Xenopus tropicalis: one gene and its partner. The protein of the gene in region 2 interacts with the protein of the main gene of each other region in a biochemical or structural test. Links are inferred from orthologs where the notes say so. Each region holds a gene or a part of one and is shown on either strand. Other genes may lie near its edges. The genes, in order: rock1 and limk2.

Evidence for each region.
Region 1: of the proteins of limk2 (region 2) and rock1, one has a biochemical effect on the other in vitro, tested with the Homo sapiens proteins (2 studies listed by BioGRID). The link is inferred for Xenopus tropicalis from reciprocal best matches to the Homo sapiens genes LIMK2 and ROCK1.

What each region holds. Positions count from the first base shown.
Region 1 is NC_030682.2:108,394,863-108,399,453, forward strand, and holds the start of rock1 (rho-associated protein kinase 1), read right to left. Parts: upstream 3,055-4,591; 5' UTR 1,757-3,054; coding exon 1,664-1,756; intron 1-1,663. UniProt on the Homo sapiens protein: Protein kinase which is a key regulator of the actin cytoskeleton and cell polarity.
Region 2 is NC_030677.2:152,021,814-152,025,632, reverse strand, and holds part of limk2 (LIM domain kinase 2), read right to left. Parts: coding exon 3,805-3,819; intron 362-3,804; coding exon 271-361; intron 136-270; coding exon 1-135. UniProt on the Homo sapiens protein: Serine/threonine-protein kinase that plays an essential role in the regulation of actin filament dynamics. Acts downstream of several Rho family GTPase signal transduction pathways.

The DNA of each region.
Region 1 (4,591 bases), on a different chromosome or scaffold from region 2:
TCCCACCGGTTAATATGTAAATCGCCGGTGGGATGGCATACGTGGCGATTTCCTGAAATCGATCGCGGCACCTCATATGCCATCCACTGGCAATTTACATTTTAGCCAGTGGGGTGGAATTTCGGGGAGATTAGTTGCCCGTGACTAATCTCCCCATGTGCCACAGCCCTTAGGGCTAACGGAACATGGGGCAGTTGGAAAGCCACTGATATCTAGCAGTGGTGGACTAAACGCCTTAGTCTGTCACTGCATGTAATTTTGCTCAGGCTAGCAGACCACTTTACAAAAAAAAAAATCAAGTTATTGTATGTGCACAGAGGTTAATATTAATGATAAACGAGTTGCCCCTAAAACCATGGAAAAGGAGAGTTTAAACCAGGGATCTCCAACCTTTATTACTCGTGAGCCACACTCAGATGTAAAAAGTGTTAGTGAGTCACACAAGCGTGAAAAAAGTTATTTGGGGATGTCAAATGAGGACTGTGATTGGCTATTTTGTAGCCCCATGTGGAGGCTCTGTGCTTCCAAACTTGCCTCCAAGCCAGAAATGTAAAAATGGGCAAGAGGGTGGTGAGCAACATGATGCTCCCGAGCCACTGGTTGGGGATCACTGGTGGCCCAGCTTCTTTCCTGCCCTGTCCCAACCCCACTCCTGAGAAACTGATTGCCACTGTTATTTACATGCTCAGATCCACCCCCAGTGATGTCAGAGCAGGTTGGATGCAGGTATATAAATCATTATGGCAGGCTTGATGGGGAACACTGTTCACATGGATCAAAGTTTTTTGAACCACACATTACTAGTCCCCATAGCACCGTGCGCATCAGCTGAGAGCGCTTAATAGTAAACAAACTTCCCAAGCAGTGACAGGTGGAGCAGGGCATTTAGCCACTGTTTTCCAGTGGAATACAGGGCATACAAAATACCCCAAATGTATTAGGCCTTAGAGATTCCTACAGATAGAGATGGCTAGAGATGACAGGCAGATTTTGGTCAGAAATTTGTCCTCTAGTGTCTGGTTCTTCTATGCTAAATTAAAGATGCCCCACATCATAAGCCTTATGGGACAGATATCCCCAGTACAAGTAGGCAGGTCCAAATACCTTCTCTCCCCTGATTAACAACGAAACCATGATTAACAATGAAATCCTTGCAAGAATAAACCAGCTGACAGCATCTGCAAAAATTCATGTGCAACTTAATGGAAAAGGCAAAATGGGATCCAACCCGGTTACATTTACAGCTTGTGAAGCTACACATGGCCATACACCAGTTCTAGCAGTCCAACAGACTTACACAACCTGGTCCTGGATAACCAACACACAAACACTGCTTATTGCTCCATTGTGGTTGCCATATAATACAAACAGTAAATTCCATTGACTGCTTCTCAGTTGCTGTTGTACTACAACTCCCAGACGCCACAGAGGAAGAAATGGCAAGGCCTGCTAATGGAATTTCTTTGTGGGGGAATGTGAATGACCCGTAGACCTTTAGCTTGCTTCTGAACTGGGAGTGGGAGTTTAACAAGGGCTGCAGCTGGGACACTGCTAATGCCTAGTAATAAATGCCCTCTCTATCCTACCCTAACCCGTCCCTCATTCCGAGTTGTAGTTCAGTAGCACTGGCACAAGCTGAACTTATTGGGCTGAAGACACTCACCAGCAGACAGTCGGTGTTAACCTCAGACTTGGGATCTCGTAAGATGCCATCAATCCTCCCGCAGCGGGACTCGAAGTTGTCCCCTGTAGACATGGTGAGAATGGGCTGTGCCAGGGGGGCACTATATGTGGGTGCGCCCGTATATGTATCTATGTGCGTATCTCTCCCCGATCCTCCCTCCTATTACTGAGATTAATGTCCGTGCGTCCCTCACCCCCGCTTCATGGCCCGGCTGTGTGGTGTGATGGGCCCCGGCATCCTCTCCTAGGGCCTCCGGACACATAAACACAGGCCTGGGCCAACCCCTCCCCGCCCCGGGGATAGTCACACCCCGAGAGCTGCGAGAAGAACGCAAAGCAGGTGACAGCTGAAATAGCGCTCCGTGACAGCTCCGGCCTTAATTCAGAGAGCCCTGTCACCCGCAAGCAGCACCCCCTAGTGTGATCTGTGCCCCCTCCTTCTTCTCCTTCTCACTGGCCTCCCCGCCGCCTCATCATGTCTCCTTAGGCCTGCACTGCCACCAGCTCTTGCCACGCTCTTTCCCCCGCCTCACGTTGTACAGGGCCTGAAAGAAATCTTGGTATTTCCTTTACTGTACAGCGTTGCGGCACCGATCGCCCTGGCTCACAGAATCTCTACAAACATGTCCGCCTTCCTGTTCAAACAGACACTGGCGGTTGGAAGGAAGCTGCGCTGCTTTGCGCAGGCGCCAAAACTTAGGAGTAGCTGCGGGGGAGGCAGAAAGGCGGAGCCGACGAAATCTCGGAAGCAGAGTCAGGAAGAAAAGTGCCGGTCACTACCATACTAACCAACTAAGAGCAAAAACATATAACCGCCGCTCGGATCTTCTACATTAGAAATCAGTATTGCGCTGACTGGAACACTTGTGCGAGCGACTAATTCGGAACGCACGTTTCTCTATAGAGTCGCCACACGGCTTCAATCTGCTGCGTGCAGTAGCTCACAAGTTTTCAATGAACGCTCAATTCGGCAGGAAAAGGTGGTAATGTTTCAGCCACCTGGGCCTGGCTGCTGGAACGGAAGCGTGACGGGCGGGAAGAAAGGAGTGTCACAGAGTTGGGCGGCAGCGTGAAAAGGGAATGAGCCGGTAGCTGCAACCTTTCATTACATGAGGCTTGCCCTGCTTTCTTAGCAGCAACTAATCCGCCGTATGGGAGGAAATCCGAATAAAATAGGGAAAGCCTAGAACAAAAGGGAAACTTTGCTAGAAAAAATGGGAAAAGTGGTAGAAGAGCAGGTCTGAACTGGGCTTCAGAATAGGCCCTGACATTTCAAGTACATTTGTACATAGATGGCCAAAACCCCTCAGCAGCCCAATTAAAGGAAAACTATACCCCCAAATACTTAACCAACAGATAATATAAACTATGTTAAGTCACCTAATAAATGAAGCGTATGTAAAACTTTATTTATAAAGCGCCACAAGGGTACGCAGCGCTGTACAGTCTTACAGAATACAAAATTACACACAGGGAGGACGAGTGATATAATAAATACATATATATTTATATAAGTGCCATGTGGTATGAGACACAGTAGGAAGGAGGTCCCTGCCCTGTAGAGCTTACAATCTGAGTGGTTGGGTAACATACAGGCACACATTGGAAGGTAAGAGTGCATCAGGTATGGGCATTTGCCCTTAAGCGCAGGACTGGGCAAAATAATGTTTTAGTGCTCCAGAAGGTAACAGCTGAGTTTTTTCTTAAAGAGAGTGGGTGAGTTTTCCCTACGGAGGGATTCAGGGATAGAGTTCCAGAGGTAAGGAGCAGCGAGATAGAAAGGTTTAAGACGGGAGAGCGCAGTGGGTGTGGATGGTGTAAAAAGACGGAGGCTCTGAGAGGAGCGGAGGAGACGACCAGGAACATGTAGGGAGACCAGTGAAGAAATGTAGTGAGGAGCAGAGGAGTGAAGGGCTTTGAATGTCAGCAGAAGGATTTTGTAAGCTATCCTTTGTTTGACAGGCAGCCATGCTAGTGAGCTTAATTGAGGCTGAGCAGGATCCCTCTTAGGAGAGAGCAGGAGGATCCTGGCAGCAGAGTTTAAGATTGATTATATTAAATCAGAATTTTCACAATCGTTCCCAGCGCTGATGTAACATTTCAACATTGTGGATGTTATCGTTTTTAATTTTATTGTTACTTATCAGCTTCAGTAAGGGTACAAAACATATGGTTGGGCCTACGCTGGCAATAAAGTGAATCACCGGTGGCAAAACATATACAGATATATTTTTCCACCAGCAATTCACTATATCGCTGAGAGGAAAGCATTCTGGAGAGATTTTTTTTGCCAGATTTAGCTGCGGGCAACACATCTTACCATTTAAAGTGGCATTTACTTAGAAAAGGAAATATTGTAGATGTACAGTGGCTTGCAAAAGTATTTGGCCCCCTTTAACTTTTCCACATTTTGTCACATTACAGCCACAAACATGAATCAATTTTATTGGAATTCCACGTGAAAGACCAATACAAAGTGGTGTACACATGAGAAGTGGAATGAAAATCATACATGATTCCAAACATTTTTTACAAATAAATAACTGCAAAGTGGGGTGTGCGTAATTATTCAGCCCCCTTTGGTCTGAGTGCAGTCAGTTGCCCATAGACATTGCCTGATGAGTGCTAATGACTAAATAGAGTGCCCCTGTGTGTAATCTAATGTCAGTACAAATACAGCTGCTCTGTGATGGCCTCAGAGGGTGTTTAAGAGAATATTGGGAGCAACAACACCATGAAGTCCAAAGAACACACCAGACAGGTCAGGGATAAAGTTATTGAGAAATTTAAAGCAGGCTTAGGCTACAAAAAGATTTCCAAAGCCTTGAACATCCCACGGAGCACTGTTCAAGCGATCATTCAGAAATGGAAGGAGTATGGCACAAGTGTAAACCTACCAAGACAAGGC
Region 2 (3,819 bases):
GGTGCTACCCCTTGCCTCTATGGAACGAAAAGAGGGAGATTTCGGGGGAGCATTATCCACTGGTAAGTTAGGTGGGGGATTGTGTTCTATTAGAAGCTGTAAGGTCCGGTCTGTTGAGCAAAGCAAATCATCAGCCTAGAATGGTTAAAGGAAGGGAAAAAGCTGTAAGTTAAGGGAATTTCACCAGTCCTGTAAAACCAACAAAGGGTAATTTTCTTTTCGATTTTTACTATTTTTGACCCTTTACAGAAGCAGACTTTTTGATCTAACCTCCTTTGAGCTCAGTGTGGTGACGGGGGATCCATTAATTTCCAGAATGCGGTCTCCCTGGTGCAGTAAATTCAAATTTTCTGTGCTGACCCTTCCAGGAAATAAAACACAGTTAGTCTGGAATATGTCTTTTAACTTGAAGTCTCTGGGATACAAGATGACTTTAATGGCTCCCAGTCTCCCAAATGGCTTGTCAGAATTATTTGTATAGCATCCTTTTAAAGGGATATTGACACTTTCACATTTATAAAGAATGTCACTATTCCTTTAATAACCCAACACTAATCTTACTTTTTATTTGTGCCACCTGCCTTTCCGCTGACCAAAAAAGTCCTCTCAGAATCCTATTATGAATTTACCTCACCTTCCAAGACCAATATTATCTCCTGTAACAATGGGAGCATCATCTAAAGCTGGCCATACACGTGGCGATCTGACGATGTTTCGTGCGACCATCGGCCGCACGAAACATCGTCAGATCCGCCACCATCCGTCAGGGCTGAAACAGCAGATAAGGAGGTAGAAACAATAGGATTTCTACCTCCTTCTGCCGATTCAGCCCTGACGGCTAATTTTGGTCAGGCGCCTTCTATGGCGCCCGATCAAAATTTTCTAACCTGGCGATCGGCGAGTCGACCCGCCGACATGCCATACACGCACCGAATATCGTACGAAACGAGGTTTCGTACGATAGTATCGGTGCGCGTATGGCCAGCTTAAGGGGTTGTTCACCTTTTAGTATGATGTAGAGCAGTGATCCCCAACCAGTGGCTCCTGAGCAACATGTTGCTCAACAACCCCTTGGATGTTGCTCTCAGTGCCCCCAAACCAAGTAGTTATTTTGGAATTCCTGACTTGGGGGCAAGTTTTGGTTGAATAAAAACAAGATTTACTACCAAATAAAGCCCCCTGTAAGCTGATAGTGTGCATAGAGGCTACCTAATAGCCAATCTTAGCCCTTATTTGGCACCTCCATGAACCTTTATGGTGCTTGTGTTGCTCTCCAAGTCTTTTTACATTTGACTGTGGCTCACGAGTAAGAAAGGTATGGGACCCCTGATGTAGAGAGTACTATTCTGAGATAGTTTGCAATTGGTCTACACTTTTTATTATTTGCAGTTTTTTAATTATTTCAATTTTTTGTTTAGCAGCTCTGCAGTTTGCAGTTTTTGCAGCTGGAGGCTAGGGTCCAAATTAACTTGGACCAGGAACCAGGAAGTGGTTTGAATGAGAGACTGGTATATGAATAGGAGAGGACCTGAATACAAAAATAAGTTATGAAAAGTAACAATAAAACTGTAGCCTAGTATATACATATATACAGTTCAAATGGTAGGCACTCACGATAATTAAGTCATCCGATGCCTGGGTGCAGTCCTTCAAAATCTAAGGGTAGATAAATGCACAAACGGGCCACTTCGCTCAGGACTTATGAAAAAATAAATAGAATTAATTAAAGTACAACATGACTGATGTTTCGGGTGTGTCAACAGCCTTTCTCAAAGTTTTCATAAGTCCTGAGCGAAGCTGCCTGTTTGTGCATATATATATATATATATATATATATATATATATATATATATATATGAATATATATGAACAAAAGGAGCACACCCTATCAAGGTTCAAATGCCCAGGGTGCTAGGGAAAAACATATAGAGCAAGACAGTGAGCTGCACACACTAGGACTTGAAAAAATAGAAAATTTATTTAAGCAAAGAAATCCAACGTTTCGAGCACTAACTGTGCTTTTTCCCTGAGGAAAAAAAAAAATATTTATATATATATATATATATATATGTCAGGTTCCTGTGCTGTACAAAAATGAGACAAAGATAAATCATTTCAGAACTTTTTCCACCTTTAATGTGACCTATAAACTGTACCATTCAATTGAAATCTTTTCGGTGGAAGAAAACCAAAAAAAATTAAAATAATGTGGTTGCATAAGTGTGCACACCCTTAAACTAATACTTTGTTGAAGCACCTTTTGATTTTATTACAGCACTCAGTCTTTTTGGGTCTGAGTCTATCAGCATGGCACATTTTGACTTTGCAAGATTTGCCCACTCTTCTTTGCAGAAACACTCCAAATCTGTCAGATTGCGAGGGCATCTCCTGTGCACAGCCCTCTTCAGATCACCCCACAGATTTTCAATCGGATTCAGGTCTGGGCCATTCCAAAACTTTAATCGTCTTCCAGTGAAGCCATTCCTTTGTTGATTTGGATGTATGCTTTGGGTCATTGTCATGCTGAAAGATGAAGTTCCTCCTCATGCTCAGCTTTCTAGCACACGCCTGAAGGTTTTGTGCCAATATTGACAGGTATTTGGAACTGTTCATAATTCCCTCTATCTTAATTAAGGCCCCAGTTCCAGCTGAAGAAAAACAGCCCCAAAGCATGCTGCTGCCACCGCCATGCTTCACTGTGGGTATGGTGTTCTTTTGGTGATGTTTTTTGGAATTATGGCCAAAAAGTTCAACCTTGGTTTCATCAGACCATAACACCTTTTCCCACATGCTTTTGGGAGACTTCAGATGTGTTTTTGGAAAATGTAGCCTGGCTTGGATGTTTTTCTTTGTAAGAAAAGGCTTTCGTCTTGCCACGCTACCCCATAGCCCAGACATATGAAGAATATGGGAGATTGTTGTCACATGTACCACACAGCCAGTACTTGCCAGATATTCCTGCAGCTCCTTTAATGTTGCTGTAGGCCTCTTGGTAGCTTCCCTGATGAGTTTTCTTCTCGTCTTTTCATCAATTTTGGAGGGACGTCCAGTTCTTGGTAATGTCACTGTTGTGCCATATTTCACCACTTGATGACTGTCTTCACTGTGTTCCATGTTATATCTAATGCCTTGGAAATTCTTTTGTACCCTTCTCCTGACTGATATCTTTTAACAATGAGATCCCTCTGATGCTTTGGAAGCTCTCTGGGGACCATGGCTTTTGCTGTGGGATGCAACTAAAAAAATATCAGGAAAGACCAACTGGAGCAGCTGAACTTTATTTGGGGTTAATCAGAGGCACTTTAAATGATGGCAGGTGTATGCTGATTCCTATTTAACATGATTTTGAATGTGATTGCTTAATTCTGAACACAGCTACATCCCCAGTTAGAAGAGGGTGTGCACACTTATGCAACCACATTTTTTAGTTGTTTTGGTTTTCTTCCCTCCACCTAAAAGATTTCAGTTTGTTTTTCAATTGAGTGGTACAGTTTATAGGTCACATTAAAGGTGGAAAAAGTTTTTTATATCCACTGTGAATTTGACATCTGCCCGCTCCAGCGTTTATAGATTACATTTTTGCTAACTAACGGTATTGAAAACATTTTTCATTTTGCGCAGTCTATCTATTTTACCCAGTTTAATTTCTACATTGATCTTTTCCTTTAATAGAATATATATAATTGGTTGTAGGAAGCTTATTTGAGATGAATACTGTACCTCATGTATATATAACCCAACATATATGCTTAGTGTTAGTAGTAAAGGGGTCCAAAACAACAAAGTTTAAAGATTTATACTCACTGTGTGACCTGCATG